Linked DNA regions of Daphnia pulex. The protein of the gene in region 1 interacts with the protein of each later gene in a pairwise test. Links are inferred from orthologs where the notes say so. Each region holds a gene or a part of one and is shown in the gene's direction. Other genes may lie near its edges. The genes, in order: eyes absent homolog 1-like and homeobox protein SIX1-like.

Region 1 (9,245 bases):
TTCTGTCTTCCGTCCGGGCAGACCCGTCAAGATGATGATGTCTCTTCTTCTCGAGAGCTGTACAGCTAGTCAGAGCGGAAAAAATAAAAACGGAAAGAAGTTTGTTAGGAATTCTCTTTATTCTCCTCATTTCTTCCCTCTTCTGCCTCTTCTTCTTCTGGTTTTGTTTTTTCGGCCCATCGATTCGGATGTCCAGAGATTTCTTTCTAGACCTCTCCTTGCTCCGTCGAAGCGACCTGTCAAATAACATTTCAACGGCCAAGAGAGCGCCCTGATGTTGGGCATTTAAGAGTGAAAGAGAATGTCTTTTTCAAGCCTGAATGCTCGGACACTGTTGTTTGCTCGTCCGGTGTTCACCGTTATAGAAAACATGGCCTGTAGGAGCAGCAGCACACAAGTAGAAGAAGAAGAACAGGAAAAAAATAAGACGAGGAAAAGAAAATGGGGAAGAGAAGACACAAAAAAATAAGACGGACACCCTCGGTCTCTTGTATGTCGGCCATCGGCTACAGAGGAAGGAACACCGCCCTTTTCGCCCTCTTTTATAGATGTAGTAAGCCATGTTAGTGTGCCTCCTTCTATATACCCCCGCTGAGATTCTAAGAGAATGATGGGCGGGAAGGGCCGAACTTTTTCGCACATATGGCCAGCACATGTTTCCAATACTCGACAGTCCACACCAACAGTCCGGTGGAGAGAGAGAGAGAAAAAAATAGAAGCGACTCCTCTCTTTCTCTCAACTGACGATCCTGTTGTTGCCCTTTTTTCTAAAAAAAAATGTATACGACTGCTTTACATTGACACTTTGGAAACTGGTCTGGGAATTGGAATGAAATACAGGCCTGTATAGTCACAGCGCTACATTTCTTTCCTTAATGTGATGTTTGATTTGTCCTTTCACCGTATTCTTATTTCCGTTGCCTGTGCGTATTCGTTTTGGTTTGGAATTCCTGTTGTGAGAGGCTTTACGGTGTGGATTCCTCCTCTTGGAGGGAGGATATATGCTTTATAATGAGCCAGGCGCCTCGAAGAGTAATACGAGTACACTTCTTTTGTTTTGCTTGGTGGAAAAGAAAATTTCGGAAAAGTGTTGTTGGTTAGGTGTCGGGGCGAAGAGAAATGACGATCAAAATACGAACAACTTCAAAACGCGCTTCTATTTATTTACGTTACATATTATACCGTACACGTCACGGCTTTGGTTTGTTTGTTTGTTTGTTTCCTTCCTGGCTCCCGAATGTCGGGAACTAATAGGCTACCAGGAAACTATTACATTAATCTTAAATCCTAAACGAATTTTATCAAAAGAACTATACCAGCCAGAAAGAAAAACAATGTCAACAAAATCAGTGCTCCCTCGAATAACGACATACGGACAGAGGAGATCTTTTTTTTTCTCCCTGTTGTTATATTTGCAGTGTGTTCTTTTTGGGAAGTCTGAACCCTCAATGGTACATAAATCACTCGTCGTCGACCGAGTTGAGATATGAGCGTCGGCCTTTGTCCGAGTCCCTAAATCCAGCGAGTTGGCGATATTCGAAGCGCTCGCATCCAAGGATCCCGCCTTTTTCGAGCGAATGTTGACCAATCGCTAGTCGGAAAACGGTTCACATTCGCCCGTGTTTTACAACGTGATCGTGAACAGCACAAAAAGAATAGTTCCTTTTTTGGGGGGGAGCTCTCATAGGTGACCCAATTTATACCCGTCAAATCAGCACATCAAGGCGAGGAAAAAAGCACGTTGAGCTCTCCACGAATAGGCACGCGCCGTATTCTATTTCAGTACCTGTCAAGTTAAGTGCCATTCATCTTGCAAGGTGTTTGGAATCGCATTCGGTTAGATTTTTAGCAGCATTATGTGCCAGAAAAGTCAGAAATCCAACGTCTCGCGTATCGCTAATCAATCACAGGTGGCTGTTTTGTCGTTTTGCGGTCAATAGTGTCTTATTAAACTTCATCTCAAGTGTCTTATTTCTCAAAAATCTTACATGAAATTAATTTCTTCTGTTCCCTATAAAGCAGGCTTGGTGAAACCGGTCACGTGTCTAGCCCTGCCAGCCAATCAGAATCGACATGCGGATCTCCTGGTGAACAAGGCGGAGGAAGCGGAGGCGGAGGGAATAGCGGCCATCCGCCAGAAGGCCAATCGTCCATCCAGCAGCAGCAAGGAGGTTTGGTTGGACCCGGTCCCGGTAGCGGTTCGTTGGTATCCAGGACGATGACCTCTTCCACACCGACGTATTCGTCATCGCCGGCGTCATGGACACTGGCGACACCTTCAGACAATTCCTTAGGTAATACAAACGATGTCAAATGTAATCATACCTTCGGTATGAATTACAACTCGTTCTACCCGCTAACATTTTGTGTCAGAAGAATTCTTCTTTCCCACCTGTATTACTGTCGTCTTTTTTTTGTTTTTTGGTTAACCGCACTTTCTATGCGACTTGTTTTCCCTCCCCAAGATATACATTCTCCCACAATGTTTTGTATCCAGACATTGTCTCTAGTGCGGATGGATGCGAGCATTTGAAAGTCATCCCTCTTTTCCCCAGGTGGGTTGAAGAAGCGCCACGGATCAAGTTCGCGGCACTCACGCATCATGGATCGTAACGTCCTGTGTGCATTCTCTGTCTCCGTTGCTTTCTTATTCCCAACATCCAAGTGGTAATCGATCCTATTCCAGCTTGGGCTCCTATTCTTTCTTTTCTATGACGAACCATTCTGCCCGTCTCCCCGCTCTCTTCCGAGAGGCTTCATTTTCAATTAAAATTGAACTTGATTCGATTTACCTCCAGTGTGCTGCCCTTCTTCAGCTCCTCTTCATCATCTGTAGACGCCATCGAGTCTGACCCGTCATCCTTGACTTCCCAGTCACTGCCTCCTTCTTCTCTCCATCGACTCCCTTTACCCTCGTTGTGATGCATTTGATTCGATCAAACTATAGTCGTGTCCGCCGTAATAGTATTCGTTACACGTTAGGCCACACTTGGCTTCCTCTAACTATACTTGGAATATACGTACTTAGGTATCCCAGTCTAGAAAGATATACCGAAGACGTATCAAAGTATACTCGAATATATATTCACCCTAACTACCCCTCTCCACCAGAAGAGGAAAAAAAATAATAATAAAAAAGGCTAAGGGGGGAGGGGGGAAATGGTACGTCTCAAGTAACACTGTCCGTCCGTCCGTCTTTTTTTTTTCTTGTTATTTTTTTCTTTTCTTATGAGAGGGGGGCCTTTTTTTATTTCAACTATGTCTGAAACTTTTCCGCGACAGCTCACATTCAAAAACTGTAGGTTTTTCGTAGTGGGAGGGAAATTGATTTTAATCGAGTTTGTCGGTATAAAGAACACAGCGCCGGTATCTAGGGCAGTGGTCATTTTCTATCATTGAATTGTTCGTCGAGTGATTGTTATTGATTGCGAGGAGAAGAAATAATAATAATAAAACAAACAAAAAACGAGGAATATGCAGGCGGAGAGCGACCGAAATGTCAGCAATTTACGACGAATCGAACCGACATCAAGTGGCGATCAATCTATCCATAAATATAATCAGGAAATGGTCGATTGAGAATCTCGCCCATTCTTTTTTGTTCCCTTGAGCAGTGTATGGTACGTCTCTCTTATTTCAAACGATCAGCTGATCGTCAAAGAAGCTTGGAATGTGGGCACAGAGAAAGGGAGTGAATCGCGTTTGCCAAGAGCAATAGACAGACAAACGAAGCAGAGATTCAGATTAGGAGATGAGAAATCTCAGATTACACCAATATCACAACCATTTCCTCTTTATTCTCTCTCTCTCTCTATTTCTCTTCAGTCGATATGGCTGTTTCAATGGTGGACGAATGGCGATTCCAACAGATATTGACATTCCACTGCGTTTGATTTGCCATTTCCAGCGAAAGACACCAGATCGAAACGTGTGTCCCCACGTCTCTCTAGTTCCTCTGAATTTGTTTGTTCACCGGAACCCGTGCGGAAATACTCGCAGACTGCGTAGACACTCTGTGCACATGTAAACGTACAGTATGGAATTTGGTGTTGGCTTTTGTACCGTGTTGGGTCTGAATTCGTTCAGTCCGTCGCGGATCTTTGAAAGCGCAACGAATGAGTCAGCGTCGATCCAGTCTTTTCATCTGTAAGCTACGCACAAAAAGTTCCCAGACACCACAGGCTATTATCGATGACGGCTGGAAAACATAAAAGAGAATCAATCAAAAGGCATTCAAATTAACGATCCTTGTTATTTTGTTTTCACAGTGAAATCCGAACTTCTTGGAGCCTCGTCTGAAGGCCATCTCGGCTCTTCAGATTCGCCCTTCGTCAGCGACGCTCTGGCTGCCGTCACCGGTGACTACCAATCGGCCTACGCTGCTTCCTATTACAGCAGGTACGATCCAAATAAGTGCATGTGGGATTCATCTCTCAAGACAATCAAATTAATAAACTGGAGAAGGAAACGTGCGACTTGGCATCGCTTGACAGGGGCTGGTGTAAAACGGCCGTTGTTTTGGGGGGAACGCGTTTATTAATGCAGACGTGTCTAAAAAAGAAAACAGTTGGCTGTGATAATAATAATAATAATGGAATGCAGCGGCGTGATGTTGTGTGAACGACCTCGTTGAAATTTCTTCATTTCCTACTTGTTTTGTGGCTTTTCATCAATGCCTCCGTGCGTTTTTTTTTATTTGATTCGTTTGTGTTATCATTGCAGCGCGATGCAGGCCTACAACAGTCAGTCGACGTCGGCCTACATGCCCAGCAGCGGATTTTACAATGGCGCACCGTCGCAGACGCCTTACGGAGTCCTAGCGCCCTCCACTTACACAACGATGGGCGTGCCTAGTTCAAGAGCTCTAGGCCAACAGTGCAAAAATGGTCAATCATTAGGTGAGTTTTTGAACAAATTTCATTCTAGGGCTTTTATTTTTCAGACACTTATAGGCCAAATCGTTGGTTACATCATTTAAAAATCAAAGTCAGAGTTGTGGCACAGATCAATATCTTGCTGAGTCAGAGTGAAAACGATCTGTATGACGACAGAGTAAATAGTTAAACTATTTCGTGATCCAGCATCCCTATTTGTGGAGTTCACTGACCGCGCGAAACACAACTTAGACTGTTAATTTTTAAAAAATGTGACCGTTTCGCAAGTGGTTCAATATCCTCATTGTGATTTTTTGTTTACCATAGCACAAACGCCTCCGTATTTGAGCTCGTACGGGTCAGCATTCGGAGGCGTCACTGCCAGCAGTTCGCCGTCGGGTCCGCCCGCCTACGCCTCGGCTTATGGATCGGCGTACAACAGCGCCGCCGCCCAATCCTTCAGCAACAGTCAACAAGTTCCAACGGTATGATTTCCTATATGATTAATACGTCCCTGTGATGTAGGCGATATCGTAGGCCTATAGACTCTATGCGGGGTATAGTGTCGGGACCAAGGTGTGTCGACGACCACCGCAACAAATTTGTTTGTCTCTTTTGCAAAATAATCCGATGATCCGATAAGTATTGTTACAATAATGGGAGACTGCCCAAGTCACGATGTCGTCACACGTTCACCGTGTTTCCTTTGTTCTTGTATGGTTTCGCAGGGACTCGATTACGGTACGTATACGCCGTACGGCCAAGCCAGTAGTTACGCGTCCTACTATGGCCAGAGTTACGCTCCCTATGGCAACGGCAGCGTCTCTGGCACAGCGTCGTTGCCCAGCCTATCGCCGACCGGATTGCCGAGCCTTGGTGGAGTCCCTAACCCGACCAGCGCAGCAACCAACAGCAACAATGTCTCTGCGTCAACAACCAATTTCACTTCGGCTGGATCCTACCAACAGTTGCCGCACGCTAGCCTGACATCAGCTTCCTCTTCCCTCTCAGGTTTGAAGATCCCTACAGGATAAACCCAAACAAATCTAAAGAAAAACATAATATGTAGCAAAATCCGGTAATAACGACTTTACTCTAATGGTCTCTTTCGTGTTTGAAAAGCAGAGAGTCCGCCGTATCCCGTTGTGGAGAACAGCAGTCCACCCCTGACAATCAAGAGCGATTCGACCCCGACCAACAACTCTCGGAGGAGTAAGGAGACGTCAGCCGAAGGTCTGTTCTATACGCTAATAACATTACCTACATACTACGTACGCTTGTTCTATCTAAAATACGTTAGGGTATATTTCTGCTTTCCATATAACATTCGATATCCTCCGGCATTAGCTGAAAAACCTATTACAGCATAAAAATTGAAACAAAAATGAAACAAAGAGAACATGATACGTATAAAGTATAGAAATGATTCGAGAGAAGAAGAAGAAGAAGAAGAAGACGAATAAGAAAAGTGTACGTAGAGCTGGTTCAAGGTTGGATTGGTCTTTTTTATCCCCGTTGCCTCCGTGTGGATGGTTTCGTGCGGGTGCGGGTACGAAGCTGGCTCTTCCTGTTGCACCGACCACGACTGCATCGGTGTCCACTTACCGGACCGCGCTCCTAGCCTCATAGTTATAAGAACTTAATACTTTTGCACTGGGTTGGACGGTCTTGGACGGTTCACGACGTGCAGCTGACGGATCGTGTTCAGCATTGTTAGCCAATTTTTTCTTCTTCTTCTTGATTTGATGACTGCACACAACTCCCGAGGGCTCCATCGTTCATCATTCCCATTGTGAGCATCATCGGCATTCAAAAATCTGCGCAGAGCTCTGAGAAGCTCTCCCGTTCACTCACGCCGGATCGGGTTGCTTCGCCGAGTCGAAACGTCTCTTTGAAATGAGCACGGCTCCTCCTTGACGCTGACATGGGGGCTCTCTGACATGACAAGAAATTGTCGTTGTGATATTACCGTCCTTGTTGAAGCCTAAACATGTTTGCATGCGAGCAGAAATAGACGCAGTTCACTGGAAAATGAATGTGATGAGCGTCTAATACATTTGGCTTTTCTCGTTTCCCAGGTGGATCTAGGAGCGCACGAAATAGAAACCGAAGAGCACCAAATCCGTCACCAGACCCCGAATCAAATTTGGACCGTGTCTTTATTTGGGATCTTGACGAGACCATCATCATTTTCCATTCATTAATGACCGGATCGTACGCCTCCAGATTTGGAAAGGTAACAATACAACACCACAAATTGTGATGACGCTGGCAGTTAATTATTATCGCGCGAGATTTCTGACACAACTGAGACCGCCCTCAACATCTCCCTTCTCTAAGCGCGTTTAACGTGTCTGTTTATCTGTCATGTCAAGCCTGTCAGAGCAAATGAAAATGGCTTGTTTTTAAAGCTGCTTTCGTCTTCGCGCGGGCGGTACTCTTTTTAACTTGTTTCTTGACGTGTAACAATTTGAAAAAATTTTTTAACTCCGCAAGCTCGTTAGTTTCAATTTTCCTATTTCATTGTATTTTTCAGGACGTTCCCGGCTCGATCCAGCTCGGAGTCGGCATGGAGGAGTTGATTTTCAACCTATCCGATACTCATTTCTTTTTCAACGATTTAGAGGTTAGTTGTTTATTTTTTAAAAAATGTTTCTTCGGTCATTTTCCCCCTAGTAACCGTGTTCCAGATTTTAAGCCCTCTATCTTTCCTTACTGGATTTAGATACGAACGCAAAGTTAGGGTATTAATTCACGCCGCTAGATGGTATTGTTGGTTGGAAAGCTTAAAATGTTCAAGGAATCGCGGCCCGTCTGATGCGCATCTTGTTTGGAAGAAGAACAAGAAGGGAAAAAAAAAGAAACACAATAGTAATTTTTTTTAGAATGACGAAGCTGGTTGCTGCGACTATCACTGTTAAATGGCCGCCAAATCTCCCGTCATGACGGAGGAAGAATAAGAAAGAGGAATCAGAGACAAGAAGCTACGCCGTCAGAAGGCGGATCCCAACACAACAAATGACAGTTGTCTCCCGCGCTCCGACAGCATTGGAATCACGGCCAAAAGAGAGACCACAAAACAAACAAATGTGTCGTAGTAGTAGGAAAGGAAAAGCCAAAACAGAAACAATTATTCACGACGGGTGTTATTAGAACAAGAATGGAAACTTCGTGACGTTGTTGATGGGGGGTGTCGCGGTGATTAAAAAACACGAACCGAACAACAAATACGGGAGTGACTCTTGCTTTCGTTCAAAAAATTCTTGTCAGATAGGGAATTTGTTTGTTTTTGCATCCTTGGTTTTTATTTTTTTTTTTGCTCACGGGCGGGAATAGATTCATCAAATGGTTATATAATTTAATCCGTCTGAAGAAAAAAAAGAGGCTGCCAACTTTCGACGGTCCCATTTAGGACCGTCCGCTGGTTTTCTTATCTGGGCTTCGTTTTTGCTTCATTGTTCGTCCGTCGCTCTTATAACGCACCTGTACACATACGGTGAAAGAATTTATGTTTCGTTCGTGTCTCCCTTTTGCGACAATAAATAACGGCGAAAACAAAACGAAGAAATAACTTTACTAGGCGCCGCACGTGACACATGGTTCTCATTCGCTTGCCGAATTGTGTGGCTTCTTCATATCGTTTACCTAGTTTTTCTTCTTCCCTTTATTTTTCTCTCTTTTTCTTTCAACCCTCCAGCCGCCGTCTTCGTCCCTCTTTTCTGGACGATTGCTTTTCTCTCTCTCTCTCCCTCTCTCTCTCTTTCGAATCGAAAACGATGCTGCTGCCCTACTGACATATTATATCTTTGCCAGCGATTGGCTCATACATTTCCTCGGTCCTCCGTATACCGGCCTTTTTTGTGTGTGTGTGTCTGATAGGTATTTTTTGACTGTGGAACGCGACAAAAGCAACTCGTGGATAAAGTAGGGACGAAACGAAGACTATTATATACGCTTGTCGCAATAAATCAAGTCTCTTGCGTCGTTTACTTTCTATTCGCGATCGGGACGGATCGTTAAAAAAATGAAATTTGGTAGGAGAAGATGTAGTACGTTATGTCGGTTATTCGTTTTTGAATGACTCTCGTCCTGGAAATGAGATCTAGTTTGGTTTAATGAACATTGAAAGACGAAGTTAAAAATGAAGTGAAATAATAAACCGCGAAATTGAGAAAACATAGTTGACCACCGCACCAGCAGGTAGAAGAAAACACAACGTTTAGCTTGTCCCATTTGGTTATTTTTGTTAGTCGCGACGGGCTGGCGGGCTGGTTAAATAATAAGGCGATGAATTAAAGGGACAAACTGGCGAACAGATAGAACTTCAAAGAAAGCCGATTGGAAGGACGAAAATTGAAAACAAAAGAAAAC
Region 2 (8,298 bases), on another chromosome or scaffold:
AACGACCCAAAATCAAATGGAATTTTAAATTTAAAATATTATTTAATTATTTCAAAAATATTAGATGCCGGGAATGTCTTCGACGTCAACTGGGATGACGTTGCCCAGTCAATCTCCTCCTTCATCCAACAACAACAACAACAACAACAACAATTCGTCGTCTTCGGTTGGTGGGACGTCGTCGCTGAGTTCCGGCGGAAACGGCGGCGGTGCGGCCCTGCCGTCGTTCGGCTTCACGCAGGAGCAGGTGGCCTGCGTCTGCGAGGTCCTCCAGCAGAGCGGCAACATTGAGCGGCTGGCCCGTTTCCTCTGGTCGCTGCCGGCCTGCGACCAGCTGCACAAGAACGAGAGCGTTCTCAAAGCCAAGGCCGTCGTCGCCTTCCACCGCGCCAATTTCAAAGAACTCTACAAACTCCTGGAAACCCATCCATTCTCGCCGCACAATCATCCCAAACTACAGGTCCGTCCGTCTGCCCGTCTGCCCGTCTGCTGGGCAAAAAAATAAAATTTTTCCGTCCGTCTGCTGGACCAAAAATTCCAAAAATTGAAAAAAAATAATTTTTCCGTCTGCCCGTCTGCCCAGCAAAAATTAAATTTTGATTTTTTAAAATTTGATATTAGGCTCTTTGGTTGAAGGCGCATTACATCGAGGCGGAAAAGTTGCGCGGGCGGCCGTTGGGTGCGGTGGGCAAGTACCGGGTGCGCAGAAAGTTCCCGCTGCCGCGGACCATTTGGGACGGAGAGGAGACGAGCTACTGCTTCAAGGAGAAGTCGCGATCGGTGCTCCGCGACTGGTACGGCCACAATCCGTACCCGTCGCCGAGGGAGAAGCGCGAGCTGGCCGAGGCCACCGGCCTGACGACCACCCAAGTCTCCAACTGGTTCAAGAACCGGCGGCAGAGAGACAGGGCCGCCGAGCACAAAGACAGGTCCGTCTTTTTATAATATTATCTTTCATTTATCATTATAAGGCCGGCGCTAATTGGCCCGGCTTTTTATCTCAATCGAAATCAAAATCAATCTACTGCTAGCTGCTGGCCTAGAGAGAGATATAAAAGAAGTTGTTGGGGTTGTTGTTATGACTGGGCCAGCACACCAGTCAGAGTATATATACCAGCCAAAGGGACTCTATATACGCTGGCCGCCCTTTTCTTTCTGATGTATATATAAACTTTTGACTGGGCACACACACACACACACTGTTGTCTTAGATACACACTAAGAGGCGCCTTTTTTCTATCTATATTTAAACTCTTTGACTCTCTCGTCGTCGTCTTCGTGGCGTGTCGTATTTTAACGGCCTGGCCCGGCGCTATATACAACTGCTGGCCGAGATAGTTTTTAAAAGAAAAAAAAACCAAGTCGGCGCGACTGGACGTGAAACTAGACGGCCATTATTTTTTGGGGCAAAGGGGGGTCAACTGTGTATAGACATTTGAACTGGGCAACTGGGCCATTTCATTTATTCCCGGCCTTGTTTATAAATGTCCAGCATCAGGGGAATGTTGATAGGCCGTGCAGAGTTTGATGTTATTAACGTAATGGGTGGGCGGTATGTAGTAGACGGACAGACAAATAAGTGGGTTAGATTTTTGGTGCGGAGGGAGAGACCCTTTCAGCTGTGTCAATATTGGACGGCCCTTCTTCATTTTCGGTCTTTTCTCTGTGTGTAACCCGAGTCAATATTGTCGTTATAACGGTACATAAAGGACAACTTGATTTTCTAGGCCGTCAACCCACCCCGGACAAAAAAAAATAAAATTTTTGCCGGGCAAAAATAAAATTTTATTTTTAGGCCGTCCATTTTCGTATTTTTTTAAAAGAAATTCCCAATGTTTGACGGTTGATTTGGTCTGGCCAGTCGACGTAATGTTACGACAAGTAATCGGCTGATGTCTTTTTGTCCGTCTCTGATGAAGCGTGTAAGTATATAACGTACACACAAAAGAAACACAAAATTCCGGAGGCGCCCTGATGGTCTTTTTTTTCCTGCCCGTCTTTTTTTCTTTTTCTTTTCTGTCTGGGTATTATATAAAAATGTCAGTCAAACAAACAGCCCCCTCTGTTGAGAGCCTCACTTGAATGGAAGGGAATATAGAACCAGTTGCCAGCAACAACAGCAGCAGCAGCAGCCAGTCTGGCCGTCTCGCTGTGTGTGCGCAGTCACACACGGCCAACAACTCGACAAGGGGAAGAAGAAACCTGATCCGTCCGTTTCCCCACCCCACCTCCGCCCTTTTCTTCTTTTTCTTCTTTTCTGTTTTAATTTTAAATTTTTAACTGGAATCAATTTTAAATTCAATTGTTTTTTCCCGCCACGAATTTTTCAAATTTTTCAAATTTTTTTGAATTTGCCGCGCAGAGTGTCGGGCGGAAGTTCGGCCAAGGACGGCGGAGACGGCGCCAACGACGCCTCGGCCCTGGACGAATCCGGGTCCGAGTCGCTGGACGGAGACGGTCCCGACGTTGCCATGGCGACGTCGTCGCTGGCGTCGGCGCGTCACTCGGCCGCCCTGTTGGACACGCCCTCGCCGCCGCCCCCTCATCACATCCAGCACCACCACCACCACCATCACCACCACCAGCAACAACAACAACAACAACAACTCAACAACATGGCCGCCGCACTGGCCAACTCCCTCCCGCACCACGGCAGCAACCAGGTATAGAAATCATTTCAATTTTAATTGAATTCCAATTAATTTTAAATAAATAAACAAAATAGGACTCGCTGATTGGTGGCGGATCGATCGGCGATTTGTACCCGGACCTGAAACTGGCGTCCGTCTACCACACGAGCCACCAGTTGCAAATGGCGTCGGCGGCGGCGGCTGCGGCGGCTGCGGCGGCCGCAGCCGCCGCTTTTGGCTCGCCCGGCCACCACGTCACCTCGCACCACCCGTCGCACGCCGATCTGGCCCATTCTCTGCTCCAGCAACAACAACAACAATCGACCGGGCCTGCCCAGCAGCAGCCGACGGCCCACGACTACAACAATCCGCACGCCAATTCGTGACGACCACCGTAGATTTAAAAATTCAAAAATTATTCAAATTTCAATTGAGTTTATTTTCCCGCCAGAAAAATTCAAATTGATTATATAATTCCCTTTTTTTTTAAATTCAAAATTTCATTTGCTATATTTCGCCAACCTATTCCATTCCAAAAAGAAAAGATGTGTATAATCAATTTTTTAATTTTCATAAAAAAGTAGTATAAAACAATTTTGAAGCGGATAGGAATTTTTTTGTCAAAAAATATGAACCCAGTGATTGAATTTTTTTTTCCCGCTTTTTTAATTGGACAGCAAAACAAAAAGAATTCAATTGGCGCCAAAACAATAATATTTTATTGCTAATTTTTCCCTTCTCTCTGGCCTATTATATATATATCGAAAAAACGGATCGACTCATCTAAAACATTTTAATTCTCCATTTGAAAATTATTATTATTTTTTTTTTTCAAACGAAATTTTCGCGGTCCAATCGAATGATATATATTTAAATGACGGGGGGTTTTATTACATTTATATATCTTGATCAGAAAAAAAAATCAATTTGTTCTCTCCATTTTGTGTTTATACAGTAATCAATCAATCAATAATTTAGAAAAAACAAAAATGTTTTCTTGTCTAAAATCCAAACCAAAATCATCAGCTTTTTTTTATCTTCTGAATTTTAATTTTTCCCCAGACCCACCCTTAAAGAAAAAAACATTTTTTCAATTTTTTGTTGGTTTCAATTTCCTGGTGTTCGTATTATGTCATCAATTAGTGAATGTGTAATAATCTGTTGTTTTTTTTTTCTTTTGTAATGTGTGTCTCTCTCTCAATACTCGACTGCTGGACGCTGTTGTACAAAAATACCAAAACGATTTGAAAACAAAACAAAAATTCACAAATTGTTTCTCATAAATTCAGAAAAATTTATTTCATTTCCAATAAGAAAATGAAAACATTATTATTTTAAATTCAAATTTCTAAAAAATTAAATCAAGAAAGAATTAATCAGAAAGAAAATGTAATTTTTTAAAATATTCAGATTTATTTGTAAATTTAATTAAAAAAGAAAGAAATAATAATTTCTTGATCAAATAATTTTTGACATCTAAATTTCGACGTTCTTTTTTTGTTTTTTTTTTCGGTTTGTTACGGCGGACGGCGTCGTTGTCGTCGTCGTTCCGGTCGACGGGCGCGCCGCCGTCACACCACCGCCGCCACCGCCGCCGCATGCACAGTACATAACCAGCAAACAATAGACGTCCTAATTGGGAATAGAATATATATATATAAAAGAGGGGGGAGGGGAGGCCGGGGGGTGGAAGGAAGAACACCGGGAAGAGCTGCTGTGATGTTCATGGCCGGGTGACGCGCTCGTTATCGTACCTCACGACATATATAACAGCAGAAAGAAAGAAAGAAAAGAAGCGCCGCGGCGCCCGTTAACAGCACTGCTGCTCACCCTCGTTCCTCCTCTATCCGAAATAACGGGGTGGGAATATAAACGCGGGCGGTTATTGTATGCAATGGCGTCCGTCCTATATATGCAAACGCCCATGTAGAACACACGAGCGGCGAATAATAGAATCAAAGGCCAGTGACATGCAGCAGAGTTGGTGGTGGTGATGAAATCACAAGAGCAAAAGATTTCGTCTATCTCCTGCTGGTGGCCATTTCGAAGGTGCAAGTGTTGCACGCGCAGAGTAAATGACCGCCCCTTTTAAAATATATATTCCCCCCAGGTGTGTCTAATGATATGCAAAAATGTCCAAACTGTACACTGAACATTTCCAAGGACCAGCACAAACTGCTGGTGAATGTCAAAGTTCTTTTTTCTATTTTTATTTTTAGCTTGAAAATGTATATCAGAGAATATTGGCCAACTTTTCAATCAGGAACGTAAAATCAACCAACAAACGTCAAAGGGGCTACACACACACAACAAGAGACCACAGGTAAAAATGGGTGGGGTGGTGAGGGGGGCACGCGAGCAGCCGGCTGTGCCATTCATCCAGCAAAACACACAATATCTCTTTATTATATTTCGAGAAAAAAGAGAATAGAAAAACGGGGTGGCCACGATCAAACAATACGCAGCAGCACAGCAGCAGCACAGCCATCTTCTATATTATTTTTCATTTGAATTATATTTTTGATTATCATTATTATTATGTGAGGGGTTGCTGCTGCTGGCATCCTCCCCCCTTTTTATTATTATATCTGATGAAATGAGCTGTCACTTTGTTCTAATCAATCAGAAAAAATCAGTTCAGTTCATCCCCCCATCACCAGCCATCCAGCAACTCACGTGCCCGTCCCAACTGCTGGGCTGTGCGCACAGATTTTATACAATTGATTTCACTGGATGGCCCAGCACCTTTTGATATTTCCCGTTTGCAAATGTCAGCAGTAAAACCTTAAAAATATTAAACGTAACATCATTAAAACCTCTCCGCTTGCATAATCACACCTGGGGATATTATATTATATAAAAAGAATGAATTGATGTATGATTTAACATCCGTTTGGCTGGAAAATAATATAGGCCAGGCCGGGCCGGGCCGGCGTAACTGTGTTGTAGATTATTATTGCCACAAACGGCCACTAACTAGATACATCCTGTGCTGCCCTTGTTATAATATTACACACGTTGTGTGTTTAGTGTGCATATTATATAAGCGCAGCAGACAAAGTGGATGAATAGTTGGAAAAGTCCAACACAAGAAGAAGAAGTCGTATATAATCAAAAGGGGCCATTTAAAGTCTTTAAGTAAATACACAACGGATATCTATTTAGATTCTTTATTCCCTTTTTTGGCTTGGTTTATTTTTATATATAATGAAACTCTGTGATGCCGCCAGTGTGCTGTGCTGTGCTGCTGGGGTCTATATGTGCCAGGTGCTAATTAGACCGACCCGCTATATTTAACCCCCCTACCATAGTTTCTCCCCCCTTTTTCATTGTTAGACATATTCTTATATTTGTATTATATACCTGTGTGTGATTATAAACGTGTATTACACGCTATATAGGTATACTACTCTGTGTGTGTAAAAAGAATAAGGCGTGTTGCGTAATAATCTTCGGTCGTGTGGGGAGGACTTCCGGTGTTGAACTTTGGTTGAACTTTGTGGAAGAAAACGACGACGACCATCCTTTTAGAGATTTTTTTTTCCCAACTATATCCCATGACACTTTTTATTTTTTTAAAAATCTTTTTGAGATTTAATTTCTCTTTTGTTTCTTATTATAACGATTCGGTTCGGTGCTGCTGCTGTTTCCCTTAGTTATATTCAATTACTTTTTCTTTTCTTTTATAACGTGTGAAAATGTTTGCTCAGCCCTCTGTGCTTGTCTGTTATTACTCATCGTCCCAATCAGAAAAGCCCCCAAATAAATAATAACTGGGGAAGTGCATCACATAAAAATAAAAGAAAATAAAAGAAAAATAAGTGTTGAGAAATAATCTTCTATACATCAAAACAGGAAACCATATCTATAACTTAATGGGCTACACAGGCTATAGCTAGCTCTCGGCGCGATGATTATCACCTTTAATGGCGCTCATCCATTAAAAAATTGGAGAGAATCTAAATGGACAACACACGCAGAAATGAACAAAAAATTTATTTTTTTGGGGGGAGAAAATAATAATAAATATAACGGTCGTCCTGAAACAACAACAACAAATAAATATATTTTTTCCATAAAAATATAAAACCAAGAGAAGAGAGAGTAATGACGGCCCTGTTGAAAGGCTCTTTCTGTGGCTGGAAAAAAATCCAATTTATAATACTTGTGTGTATCCAATTATCATAAAACATACTACGTGTAAAAAAAAAAAACAAGAGATGGGAATGAATCCATTCGGCTGGAATAGACACACACACAGCAAACAATCGCTGCTGCTGTTCTTTTATTATAAGAAAATAACGCACAAAAGGTTTAAAAAAGAAAGAATAACAAACATTACAATACACACACACACATAGAGAGAGAGCCGGGCAGTTATTTAACCGCCATCAAACTGTATAGTATATAGTAGATAATACCGGGCGCGTGTTGTATCTGATTCTTATAATTTCAATAGGGTTTTTATATACATTTTCTTTTGTGTGTCCGTCGCAATCGTCTTTTTTGAGTCTTGTAAGTTTTTGGGAAGAGCTACCGGGCCGCGCGTCTTTTCAACGCCGGACCGTCAGTCTGGTGCCCATTCAACGGTGCTGTTGTGGGTATATACATTAGTGCACTATACTGTGGATGAATCTCTCTATAATAATGCCAGCGTAGGCCTACAACAAAAACGGCCAGGGGTAAAATATTATAAGAATCGAAAGGTAAACAAGAGATTATCTCTCCAAGGCGCTTCTATTCAAAATCCCCTTTTCTCTTTTCTTTATTCCCCCCTTGTATATATAAAAATACAATTCCTGTTAGTATAGTATAGTAGATGAGCCGCTATATTTATTTTATATATATAGTAGCTATATAGTGAGCGTATTAGGAGCATTAAAGGATTTTTTCCCTTTTTGTGTCGTTGTCCATCAACAAACGCTGTGGGGTTTTTCGCGTTTTATCTTTTGTCTATAGTCCGCGGTTATAGTATTTGAGTTGTCTGTTATATTTGGGGGTTAATATTTGAGTCTATATCTACCTGCTGGTCTACATGGCGACAAGTTCAATCGTCACTTTTAAGCTTATTTTTAAAGCCTTTCGACGATGTTTTGACAAGTTTGGCGAAATAATTTTATTTTTAGGCCGGCCAAAAAAGAAAAAATTAGTTTAGGTTAGGTCGTTTTATTTTCGTGAGTACGGGCGTGAGTATTCAACCGAAATTGTGTCACTCTCAACGACAGCAGTAGGCAAAAGTAGGTGAAAGAAAACCTACAAATGTCTATACTATAATCATATATGAACGCTTCCTATCTATTTACAAATGGTTTCTTATCGGCGTTTGTTTTATTTTTGTGAGCTATATGGAGAAATACATCTTTTCCACTCGGACGGATTGAGCTCCCCTCCGGAGTCGGATTAACACATATATTTCTACTGCGTACATGTCAAATGGCGAAAAATAGAAAAAGAAAAAATTAGAAAACGAACAAATAACAACGCCATTAAAAATCTATATAATAATAAGCCCCAGAAAAACTGGAGAAAAAATTGAGGTTAATGAATGAAATAATCTTCTTTTGTTATATTTTAGTTGATGGTATAACAATGGCGCAGGTGTATAAGACAAGTCGTTATATACAATTACAACAATGTATATTAATAAAATAATCGGTCGCACATATTA

What was found.
Region 2: the proteins of eyes absent homolog 1-like (region 1) and homeobox protein SIX1-like interact in a two-hybrid assay, tested with the Drosophila melanogaster proteins (2 studies listed by BioGRID). The link is inferred for Daphnia pulex from reciprocal best matches to the Drosophila melanogaster genes eya and so.

The regions. Positions count from the first base shown.
Region 1 is NC_060018.1:2,755,800-2,765,044, reverse strand, and holds part of eyes absent homolog 1-like, read left to right. Parts: intron 1-2,019; coding exon 2,020-2,294; intron 2,295-4,089; exon of another isoform or gene 4,090-4,115; coding exon of another isoform or gene 4,116-4,146; intron 4,147-4,268; coding exon 4,269-4,398; intron 4,399-4,722; coding exon 4,723-4,898; intron 4,899-5,201; coding exon 5,202-5,359; intron 5,360-5,602; coding exon 5,603-5,885; intron 5,886-5,999; coding exon 6,000-6,107; intron 6,108-6,952; coding exon 6,953-7,110; intron 7,111-7,410; coding exon 7,411-7,500; intron 7,501-9,245. UniProt on the Drosophila melanogaster protein: Tyrosine phosphatase thought to play a role in transcription regulation during organogenesis through its intrinsic protein phosphatase activity. The phosphatase activity was shown in vitro. Appears to function together with So and Dac in eye development.
Region 2 is NC_060021.1:1,423,405-1,431,702, reverse strand, and holds the end of homeobox protein SIX1-like, read left to right. Parts: intron 1-64; coding exon 65-460; intron 461-621; coding exon 622-929; intron 930-2,362; coding exon 2,363-2,663; intron 2,664-2,725; coding exon 2,726-2,815; coding exon of another isoform or gene 2,816-2,855; coding exon 2,856-3,104; 3' UTR 3,105-3,900; downstream 3,901-8,298. UniProt on the Drosophila melanogaster protein: Required for visual system development. May transcriptionally regulate genes necessary for optic lobe invagination and Bolwig's nerve formation.